Saccharomyces cerevisiae S288C: one gene and its partners. The gene in region 1 interacts genetically with each later gene. Each region holds a gene or a part of one and is shown on either strand. Other genes may lie near its edges. The genes, in order: YCR102C, AUA1 and MGA1.

What was found.
Region 2: mutations in YCR102C (region 1) and AUA1 together harm fitness more than expected from each alone (negative genetic interaction), as found in Saccharomyces cerevisiae (one large-scale study listed by BioGRID).
Region 3: mutations in YCR102C (region 1) and MGA1 together harm fitness more than expected from each alone (negative genetic interaction), as found in Saccharomyces cerevisiae (one large-scale study listed by BioGRID).

What each region holds. Positions count from the first base shown.
Region 1 is NC_001135.5:303,854-307,260, forward strand, and holds YCR102C (uncharacterized protein), read right to left. Parts: upstream 1,615-3,407; coding exon 508-1,614; downstream 1-507.
Region 2 is NC_001138.5:113,019-115,876, reverse strand, and holds AUA1 (Aua1p), read right to left. Parts: upstream 888-2,858; coding exon 603-887; downstream 1-602. Other genes in the region: WWM1 (Wwm1p), read left to right, coding at 134-769; hexose transporter HXT10, read right to left, coding at 1,892-2,858. UniProt on the Saccharomyces cerevisiae protein: Involved in ammonia regulation of the GAP1 permease.
Region 3 is NC_001139.9:985,935-989,696, reverse strand, and holds MGA1 (Mga1p), read right to left. Parts: upstream 1,649-3,762; coding exon 278-1,648; downstream 1-277. Other genes in the region: 6-phosphogluconolactonase SOL4, read right to left, coding at 2,958-3,725.

The DNA of each region.
Region 1 (3,407 bases):
CACTGGATAGAATAGTGCTGGCTATCAAACCAATATTTTCTTTCCAGCTCTTGGGGGACCTCTACTGCGTTATATCGTAGTTTCCATTCAGCCTGCTTATCGCCTTAGGAAAAGGGAATGTAAGAGGCAGAAAAGTGCGGCGCAATCGTTCGGACAGCGAGCCGCTATTATAGGTAAGAATTCTTAAAGAGCTTCGCCGGATATTATTACAGTGTATTAAATTTCGCCAAGTCTTTGCCAATGGAAATAGGTGCATAATTTTATGTGCTTGGTACATATGAGTTCAATAGATATGTAGTAGTTGGATAGTAGATAGTAAGGATATATAATCATGGAAGGGTGACGCACAACAAATCACATAATGAGTTATGATTTTCACTGTTCTCATCTGTTTCCCCTACAAGGCGTGATCAATAACAAACAATTTCATTAAAAAAAAAAAAACCAAGTCACTCTAACATACGTAATAACTGTGTATACAAAAGAAAAATAATATCTGTTCGTCATCTAGTTTAATACGGCAACTAGTTTTTCACCAGAGTTCTTACCGATTTTAATGTCTTCCAGGATACGAGGAACATCGTAAAGCCCGTTCTTATAGACCCTTGCTGGAATATGGTGAATTTGCCCATCACTAATCTTTGGATTGATGAACTTGACGAATTCGGTGGCAGCTCTCCTGGCTTCTGGGTCAGCAGGGAAAGTAATGCCACCAAATGGTACTTCATGGCCGCCTATTGAATACAGTCTTGTTCTGTCAATAGTGACATTTTGCCTCCTATTCTCCTTTTTGACGTTTTCTTCTGTCAAATTAGTTAATTCGACAACGGTAGCATCCTGTTTATCGGCCGCACATTTGTACACTTGTTGAAGCGTATTTTGATTCGCGACACAGTCGACTAAATACGAGATATTGTTGTACTTGTGTTTAATTTGTTCTACCACGTCAATATCATGGTAATCAAATAGTTGATCAGCACCATATTCTTTCAACAGTTTTTCGTGTTTCCGAGAAGCCACAACAATGATCTTGGTGAAGCCATTCAATTTATTGGCTAATTGGATGAGCGACTGACCTACTGCAGTTGCACCGCCCCATAATAAGATGGGGCCGTTTCTTTGTGGGGTTGATGGCTCCCACTTCAGGTTCAAGCCCAAGTTATAGGTCAACACCAAGCCAGCTGTGGTCAGTGACACTGGGATAGTGGCTGCCCCTTCCAAAGACCTGACAGGGCCGGCAGGTAGAACATCTTCACCCAAAAATTTGAGTTCATTGGGTGATTTGTAGGCAACCACAGTTGAAATAGCAGAATATTCAGCAAAAGCACCATTGGAAGGAAACCTTACGGAAGATCCGTGAATGAACCCATAAATATAATCACCAATAGAAAAGTCTTTAGGATCGACGGCTGGGCCCAATTTGACAATTTGGCCGGCAGCGTCACATCCCAGAATAGATCCTTGAGGCCCGACCTTGTAGTCAATGTGTGCCCAATCAGTCGGGTTACCAGCAACAGCGAGTGTCTTAATCAATACGAATCCTTCTTCCAATTCAGGAATGGGAACGCCCTCTTTGACAACCGCTTTACCGTCTTCAATGACGACAGCCTTCATGGTTTCTGGAATTGCAACTTGCCTGTTTGTAGGTTATATGTAATTGTCGTTGATAATCTGTATTCAGCTTGCCATTTTATAGAATATGGTTAGAAGGATCTTAAGCTAGATAAAGAAAAAGAAAAAAATAGAAAAAAGCCTGCCCGCTTTATAAGAACTTTTCTCAATATCTGTTGAGGAACACTTAGTAATATTGTCTATCATGGTTGCTTTATTCTTGGTGATATTACTCTCTGGGATTCGATGTGTTCTCATCATCTGAAGGGTTTCCTATGTGTTGAAAGCCTATCCCACTAGACGGAGCCGCGCGCCAGCCGGGCGGATCCGAGACATCTTAGTCAGCTGAGACAAGAAAGGCACAGCTCTCGGACAGGAACTGCTGTCATATGAAAACCTAAAAATGTTTCCTGGAAATTCCATGACTGCGCAAAGTTTGATACGTTTATTGTTCTTCTCTACTACCGCACTTTCTATCTCGGAAACCTTTCAACTGAATGAACTATTGTTAATTGTATGGCGTGTGGCCTTGCTATTTCAGCAAATTTAGAGTAAAGTAAACTCCGTCGGACCAGTATAGTAACGAAACAAGCCATTGATTCTGCAGCATATTGCGACCAAAACCTGGAAATTGGTGGCTATGAGTTTTAATTTATAATTATATGAAGACAAAGCTTGGAATGCTGAGTACTTTTTCTTCAATGCTGCTCACTGCCCAGAAGCGTTCAGAACAACTCTACTGGAGCCATTCTGCTTGAAGGAGGATAAAAATGCCAAGATCAAGTCTTTTAAAGACTCTATCCCTTTTCATCGGAAAAGCACTACAAGTTTATTCTACAGAAGTGGACAAACTGTGGAACTTGATCCATACTGAGTAAGTATGGAAGACTGTTAACTTGGAGGATTTTTCTCTGCTTTCTAAAGAAGGTTCACTGCTTTACACTCACCTAGGTTCTCATGAGTATTGCTAGCTAGTGCGAGTTTGATCTATACTTCACAGACTTTTAACACCCCGTTCTTTAAGTTTTCCCTGATTATCAAGCGGATTTCCAATTCTTATTCCCCACTATCGCACCTTTCTTATCTGAATTGTATTTTTGAGTGGCCTAACTGTAATCTTTTATTTTGTTTTCTAATTATTGAAGGCGGTTTCTCGAAACATTTCACGATTTCCAAAATTCAAGAATTGAAATTATGAACATAGAAGACAAAATGCCTTTTTTATCAACTATTATGAATTCTCTAGAAAGTGGTTGCAAAGGAAATAAATATGTATTTGCTGAGAGGAAAAGTTTGGAAGAACAAAAAGTATTTCTTTGATGGAGCTGATTATCAAGCATTCTTTACGGGGAGCTTTCGAAATTTTTTATATTCAAGGACATTTATGTTGTGTGGGTTATTAAACGTGGGACTTTGGAAATACATCCAAGAAGCACAATTGAGCTCTAACGATGAACCGTTACCATAAAGATAGAGACATTTCTTTTGACTTAGAAGCTACATGGAGTACCAACTATTAATACACCTCTCCTAGAGAACATTTTTAAAATAGAATAAAATAAAGTAGCGCTCTCAACTACCCTTACACTTTTTTCCTTCATATCTGGCTAGAAAAGAGGGATTACATCTCGGAATCAAAGTTTTAATACTGCTACTACGAACTGGTTACAATTCTATTTTTATCATACACGATACTTTGAACATCAACTTCTCTCAATACCATCCGCCTTCAGCGGCTACAATTACGTAATTGCACCAAGGCATTCGCCGAGAGTTTACATATTTGCAGACCCTAA
Region 2 (2,858 bases), on another chromosome or scaffold:
TCGTCCACCTGACCGAGCCGGCAGCTGGAAGAAAAAGTTTACTTTAGTCATGATAATCAAAAGACTCTTTCTGAATTGCTTTTATCACTCACTACAAGAGAGTCGATAAAAAAACCCAAAACATTTTAAAGTAATGGCTCAAAGTAAAAGTAATCCTCCTCAAGTGCCTTCTGGCTGGAAGGCTGTTTTTGATGATGAATACCAGACTTGGTATTATGTAGATTTATCTACGAACAGCTCTCAGTGGGAACCACCAAGGGGAACAACATGGCCAAGACCCAAAGGTCCTCCACCAGGTGTTAACAATGAGAAGAGTTCTCGTCAACAGGCAGACCAGGCTCCTCCACCTTATTCTTCTCAATCAACACCGCAAGTGCAAGCAGGGGCCCAAGCACAGCAACCTCGTTACTATCAGCCTCAACAGCCTCAGTACCCTCAATACCCTCAACAGCAGCGTTACTATCCTCAACAAGCCCCTATGCCAGCAGCAGCACCACAGCAAGCATACTATGGAACTGCGCCAAGCACCAGTAAAGGTAGTGGACACGGCGGTGCCATGATGGGTGGTTTACTTGGTGTTGGTGCGGGTTTGTTAGGTGGAGCTATGCTAGAACACGCATTTGACGACCACAACTATGACGGACCAGACACTGTCGTTGTCGAGAACAATTACTACGGTGATGATGCTGGTGGGTCCGACGGCGGATTTGATGATGCTGGTGGGTTCGACGGCGGATTTGATGATGGATTTGACGGTAGTGACTTTTAATGTTATCAAGACTTTTTGGACAAGGACGATAAAATGATATAAGCTCATCAAATCTATATTGCTTGCTGCCATCTAAATATGGATACATACAGATATATACTTGCAAAGATCGGTCCATTATACTACATAGAAAGCAATTAAAAGATAAAAAAACCCATCATGATATTCTACGCTTTTTTACTTAGCCATGTTGTTGAATGTAGCTTCAATTACTTCTGTCTGTCTAATTTATTGCTACTTTTTCACTTCTAAGTGAACCATCACAACACATATAGCATAGTCGAGAAAAAAATCAATAGCTATTACTAGATGATAGATACCGTATATGCCACCTACAGCTTACTAGAGAGCTTCCGGAATGATAGTATCATTTATCAAACTACCGGTATGGTTGTGTATTGACTGCGCCTCTCAATCTATGAAGCAGCACCACGCCTTATCGTGGCTATGCGCGATATGACCGAGCTTTACAACATACTTTTCAATAAGCCGTTCTTTGAATAATGGACCCTTTCCTATAACCTAGTGCGCGTTTAAGGTGTTTTGTTCCAATAATAGAAGCACCTATCCACATACTTCACATACAGATACACTAACTAATACCACCGATGAAGCGGAAACAATGATAAATGCAAAGCCTTGGAACATCGACAGGACTACCCGAAAATAATATGTGTGTTTACTAACAACGCAGTAATAAAGCTTTCATAACGGTAAAAAGAGGTAAGATCCTGTATAAACTGGTCTCTAGTTACTTATATCTCAAAACATTATATATGTCGATGGTACAAGTTTGACCTTACATTGCCTGATTTTTTCAGAAAGATAGCAGGTAGTTGTTATACTACAGTAATTTACTATAGCTAATCTTCATTTTAAAGTGCCCACTTCTTTTTTTTTTTGAAATTATTTCTGAGTAGTAGCTAGCTTATAAACTACTTATATGCATTTATTCACCGGCGTCGCAAATGTGTCCGTCTTATTTTTTTTAATTTTTTTTTCAATTTGTGACGCCATTAATAAAGGCTATTATATAAAACCAATCTCCATGAAATAGAAGTAAAGCATCAATCCATTATCTGTTGTTATTTCTGTTTACCAGAGTACAAGAATATTTAGAAATTATTTACTATCAACAATAACTAATGGTGTACTGCTTGTTGGTTGTGGTGTTCTTCTAGAACTGGGAATCCAACCTCCGGACTTCCATGGCTTTATTCTTTCTTCGTACATTTCATTAACTTCCTCCAGAGTTAATCCCTTTGTTTCGCAAACAAAGAAGAAAACGTAGAAGTACGAAAAGATTAAGCAACCCATGAAAACATAGCCATAAGAAAATCCTATGGATCTAGTGATAAAGGGTGTGAAAAATCCAATCAAGAAACCCCACATCCAGTTCGCACCAACCGCAATGGCCATGGCACGATTTTTAACTCTTAATGGATAAGTTTCTGCCACAATGACATAGGCGATAGGAGCCCAAGTAATGGCAAAAGAGAAAATGAAGAAACAAGTAAAAACGATCATAACATTACCAGCACTTTGCGAAGAAGGTTGGTCTTTCCCTTGTGGCCATAATCTAGTGACGCCAACGGTGGCGAATATGACGAAACAAATTGCCATCGAGGCAGACCCCCACAATAAACATTTTCGACGCCCAAATTTATCCACAATGTATAGTGCAACAAATGTAGAAGCAAAATTAACAGCCCCAAGGACAATGGAAGTCTCGAAAGAGTCTTGCATTCCAACAGCATTGAAAATGGTCGTGCCGTAGTAGAAAAAATAATTACAGCCAGTAAGCTGTTGCAGTGACTGGATAACGATTCCCATTATTACCCTTGGTAGAATTGCTCCTTTATTTGAGAAGAGTTCGTGCCAACTGGCATTTCCAACAGCCCTTTCTAATTCCATATTTGCAACTATAGTATCAAACTCAAAAACAACGCCTGGATCAGTAACTGTGACCTTGTTTGATTTGGCCAAAGACCTTCTAGCTTCTTCATACTTACCTTTTTCTACTAAATATCTGGGCGATTCCGGAACCATAACCATTCCAATCACCATAAAGATTGCCCACGCAAAACAC
Region 3 (3,762 bases), on another chromosome or scaffold:
TTCTCAAAAAAAAAAAAAAAATTGGAGAACAAGCGCAGCCGGAATGAAAAAGGCCATAATTTATGTTAAATTAATCATAAGAAAAATTGATAATAGCAAACATAGCTTGTGATTCTTTTTCTTTCGGTTTGTGAAATAATTGCATTCTTCCCCCTTGTATCTAGTATGCAAAAATATGGAGAATGTTCGTTCTTCCCTACGTTCACTGAATGTTCCTTGGTATCAACAGCGGTAACAGTTTGTTCAGTTGGATGCGATGTGTTCTGTTGAAAATAATTCAGTAAGATGCTGGTTTAGTGGCGACTTCACCTTTCGTGATTATAGGTATACTCTTGGGAATTATGCTGGACGTCAGAGAAGTTAAGGTCGATGATGTATTCGTAGTCTCTTGAAGGGGTAGGGCAGTTGTTTTAACAGATTGCATAGACATCCATTTACTTTCAAGTTGAATGATTTCCTCCTTGGAATTCTGTAATAGGGATAAGCTTGTTCGAAGGTCTTTGTTCATGGCATCATTAGTTAGAGTTTTATTTTCATCTTGCGATGCGCTGTTAATATGTTTTTCTATCAAATCAGTGATTGTTGATAGAGAGTTCTTTAAAGTTTGTATATGGTTATCCAAAGCTTGCCTTTCACTTATATTGCTTTTTTTGGGTAGTGTTACATTATTATTACAAACTCCTAAAGCAGGTGAGTTAGAAGCAGAGTTCGAAAGAGAGTTCATCATTGAGGGAAATGGAGTGGAGTAACTGCTATATGGCGGGACTGTAGGGAGCGGTTGCTGCTGCTGCTGCTGCTGCTGGGCAAAAGCTCCAGGATGATACGGCATTGGGTAATTAACAATTGGCAAGGAAGTTGTTTTCAGATCATCTGTCGAAGATAGTGTTCCTGATTTCTTCATCGGAGGTCCAGATAATGCTTGTGGAGAAAGTACTTGTTGCGGCTGCTGAGGCTGGACTATGCTATCTTGGGTGGAAAATTGATTGGGATAGTCATAAGAATTCATCATCCTCGCCGAGATGCTTTGCCTTCGCATCATGTTCACCGTGGGTTGTTGAGGGGGCAGTGAAGATATTAGGTAAGGTCCACTACTTTGTTGCTGTTGCGGTATACTGATATGTGGAGGACTTTGGGATGTTGAGTAATGGACGGGACTGCCCATAAACATGTTTGATGGTTCTCTTGCAGAAACTGGTCCGGATTGCTGAGAGAGAACATTTAACCTCGAAGCATCAACGTAACTGACAGATATTGGTGACAGTATATTCTTTCTTTTACCATCTTTTCCCACACCAGTGCTCTTTCTTTGGATTTTATTCAAGATACCGGCGTTGGCCTCTTTGAAGAAGAATCCAGATGGGTGGGTAAATTTCCATTCAACAAGTTCTTTAACGTTACCATTGTTGGCAGAAGATTGGTCTGGGGAAGGATGAGATAGTTTATGAAACCCGTACATGTGTAGTTGACGAACAAAACTATTGACATTTCCATGTTTGAAATAACGCTTCAGAACATGTGTACTAAAATTAGGGTCATATGGCTTCAAAAAAAATACCGTGTTATCAGTCGGAGACCAGTATATCCATTTATTTACTTCCGGTTCCAGAAGAATTGCATGAAGTTGGTGGACGAAAGTTTTAGGTTGCATGTGGCCACCGGTTCTCTGAGCTATTGTATTTTATGGCGTGGGTGAAAATTCAATATAGGGGTTACAGCTGCCTAACCTTAAAGCGTGTAAAGGAGATCTAGATCTTCTGCAATGATCAGCTACTACCAATATATATATATTGGAAAAAAAGGTAAGTAACGACGTATCAAGATAAAACCCCAAAGGAAGAAAGATGCAACCGAAAGGAAAGCATGGAAAACTTCGAGCTATTCACTACCTGATTACTTCAACGTTAATGAATACCCTAAACGTGATAAGTTTGTGCTTTTCCTTCGATATGGATATCTACTGCCTTCCATTTTCTGCTCTACGGGTCAACAACTGAAAGATTATTTTTTCGGTTCCTCCTTTTTCTTCTCGAAAAAAAGCTTAAATCTTTCAAAGACAAAAAAGAAAGATTGCACCAAATCAGCGCAGAAGGCAGCAACCAGAGAGACGGGGGCGCAGAGTCAACATCATATACGTAACAAGTTGTTCAGGGCGGATCGCTTCACGTCATACAAAGGCGCGGATATGCACTAATCTGCAAATCTCGCAGTCACCGTAAGCCCAAGCCAAAGCGAACCATCGGTGCTAAATCGGCCCGCCCGACTGAGACGCACAGATTCCTACGCAGGCTCTCCTTGTGCCGCCCACGGAGTATTCCGTTCACCCAAAAAAAAATAAAAAACGAAAGGGGCAGACCAGGGGCAGACCAAAGGAGGGGAATTACCGGCGTGGCTAATATTCCTTATTTTGCTTAGAGCACCTTCCGTTCCGCCGCCGCTGCTTCCTAATCTGGGGCCAGGAAACGTCTGCGGCGGGCCAGATTCATTCTCGAGCCAGGAGAACTGCGTAGCTTGCGATAAAGGGGCGAAATTAACCCTTCCATGCAGCTGGCCCGAAGCAATTTTATATTTCGTGTGCTCGCCAAAAAAAAAAACCCTGCTGCGTCCCTTATTCTATTTCCATGGAAATTTCCGTTAGCGCTGTTTTGCAGGTGGTTCCGAGTCATAGCATTAAGATTAACGCGTTGTAACGGTATCACCGGGTGAGCTATGTTTTTCTTTTAAGTTATGCAACCTTCGCGGAGGCTCGGTTGCTTACGGAACTTTTAAGGTTGAGTTTGCCTTCGGTACCCCTTTCCTTTCTGCTGTCAATTCTTCTAGAAGAACTGGGTTTATGCTTCGGGAGTAAGCTCCAACATACGCTGTAAAGAAGACAGTTGTCATTTATTTATTATTATGTAATGTAATTAAGGTTGTCTGTCGTGATTAACGGAGCCAGTTTCGTATAAAGACGAGTGTAATTAGCAGTTTTCAGGAATCAAGGCGCCAGCTTCGTCGTCGAGAAACCAAGTTACTTTGGTTCCGACCATTTCATTAACCAGCACACTAGGTAGTTCGCTATTTTTTACGATTAACACGTCATGCATGATAGCCTTTTTAGCAGCTCCCCTAACGAGAAAGCACACACTTTTAGCCTCGGCTACTACTGCTAATGTAAAGGTGATCCTGTCCTTGGGTGCCTTGGGCGAATTATTACACCATAAAACCTTGCGGTCCATCTCTTCTACAAGGTAATTAAATTCAACCCCGGGAAACAACGAGCATGTATGTCCATCTTCTCCGCATCCGAGTAAGATTAGGTCGAATGATGCAGGCAGCATGGAAGCGTATTCTTCGGCAATCTTTCTATTGGCCGTTTCACCGCCACCGATTAATGATTCGTTGATAGTGTATACAGTGGGGCCTAAGTTCAATTGGTTGCCCTGATGCACTAGCGGGTCCAAAACTGTTTTTTTGAACTGACCATAGTTACTTTGCGGATCCTCAAATGGAACCAATCTTTCGTCACAGAAGAAGATTCTCCATTGTGGCCACTTAATATGTGGAAAAATGTTTTTGTCATTTACCAAACTTTCGTACAGCGCTTGGTTCATCGATCCTCCACTGATGGCGATATTGAACACTGCATCAGCGTCGCCCGTTAACGCCGATTCTTGCTTTTCAAGGATAAACTTGCCGAATTCGTGTATGAGGCTTTTCTTTTCGCTAAACCTTTGTAATTTCACCATTTTTCTTGAGGTGGTTGTGGATTATTTGATGAATGGC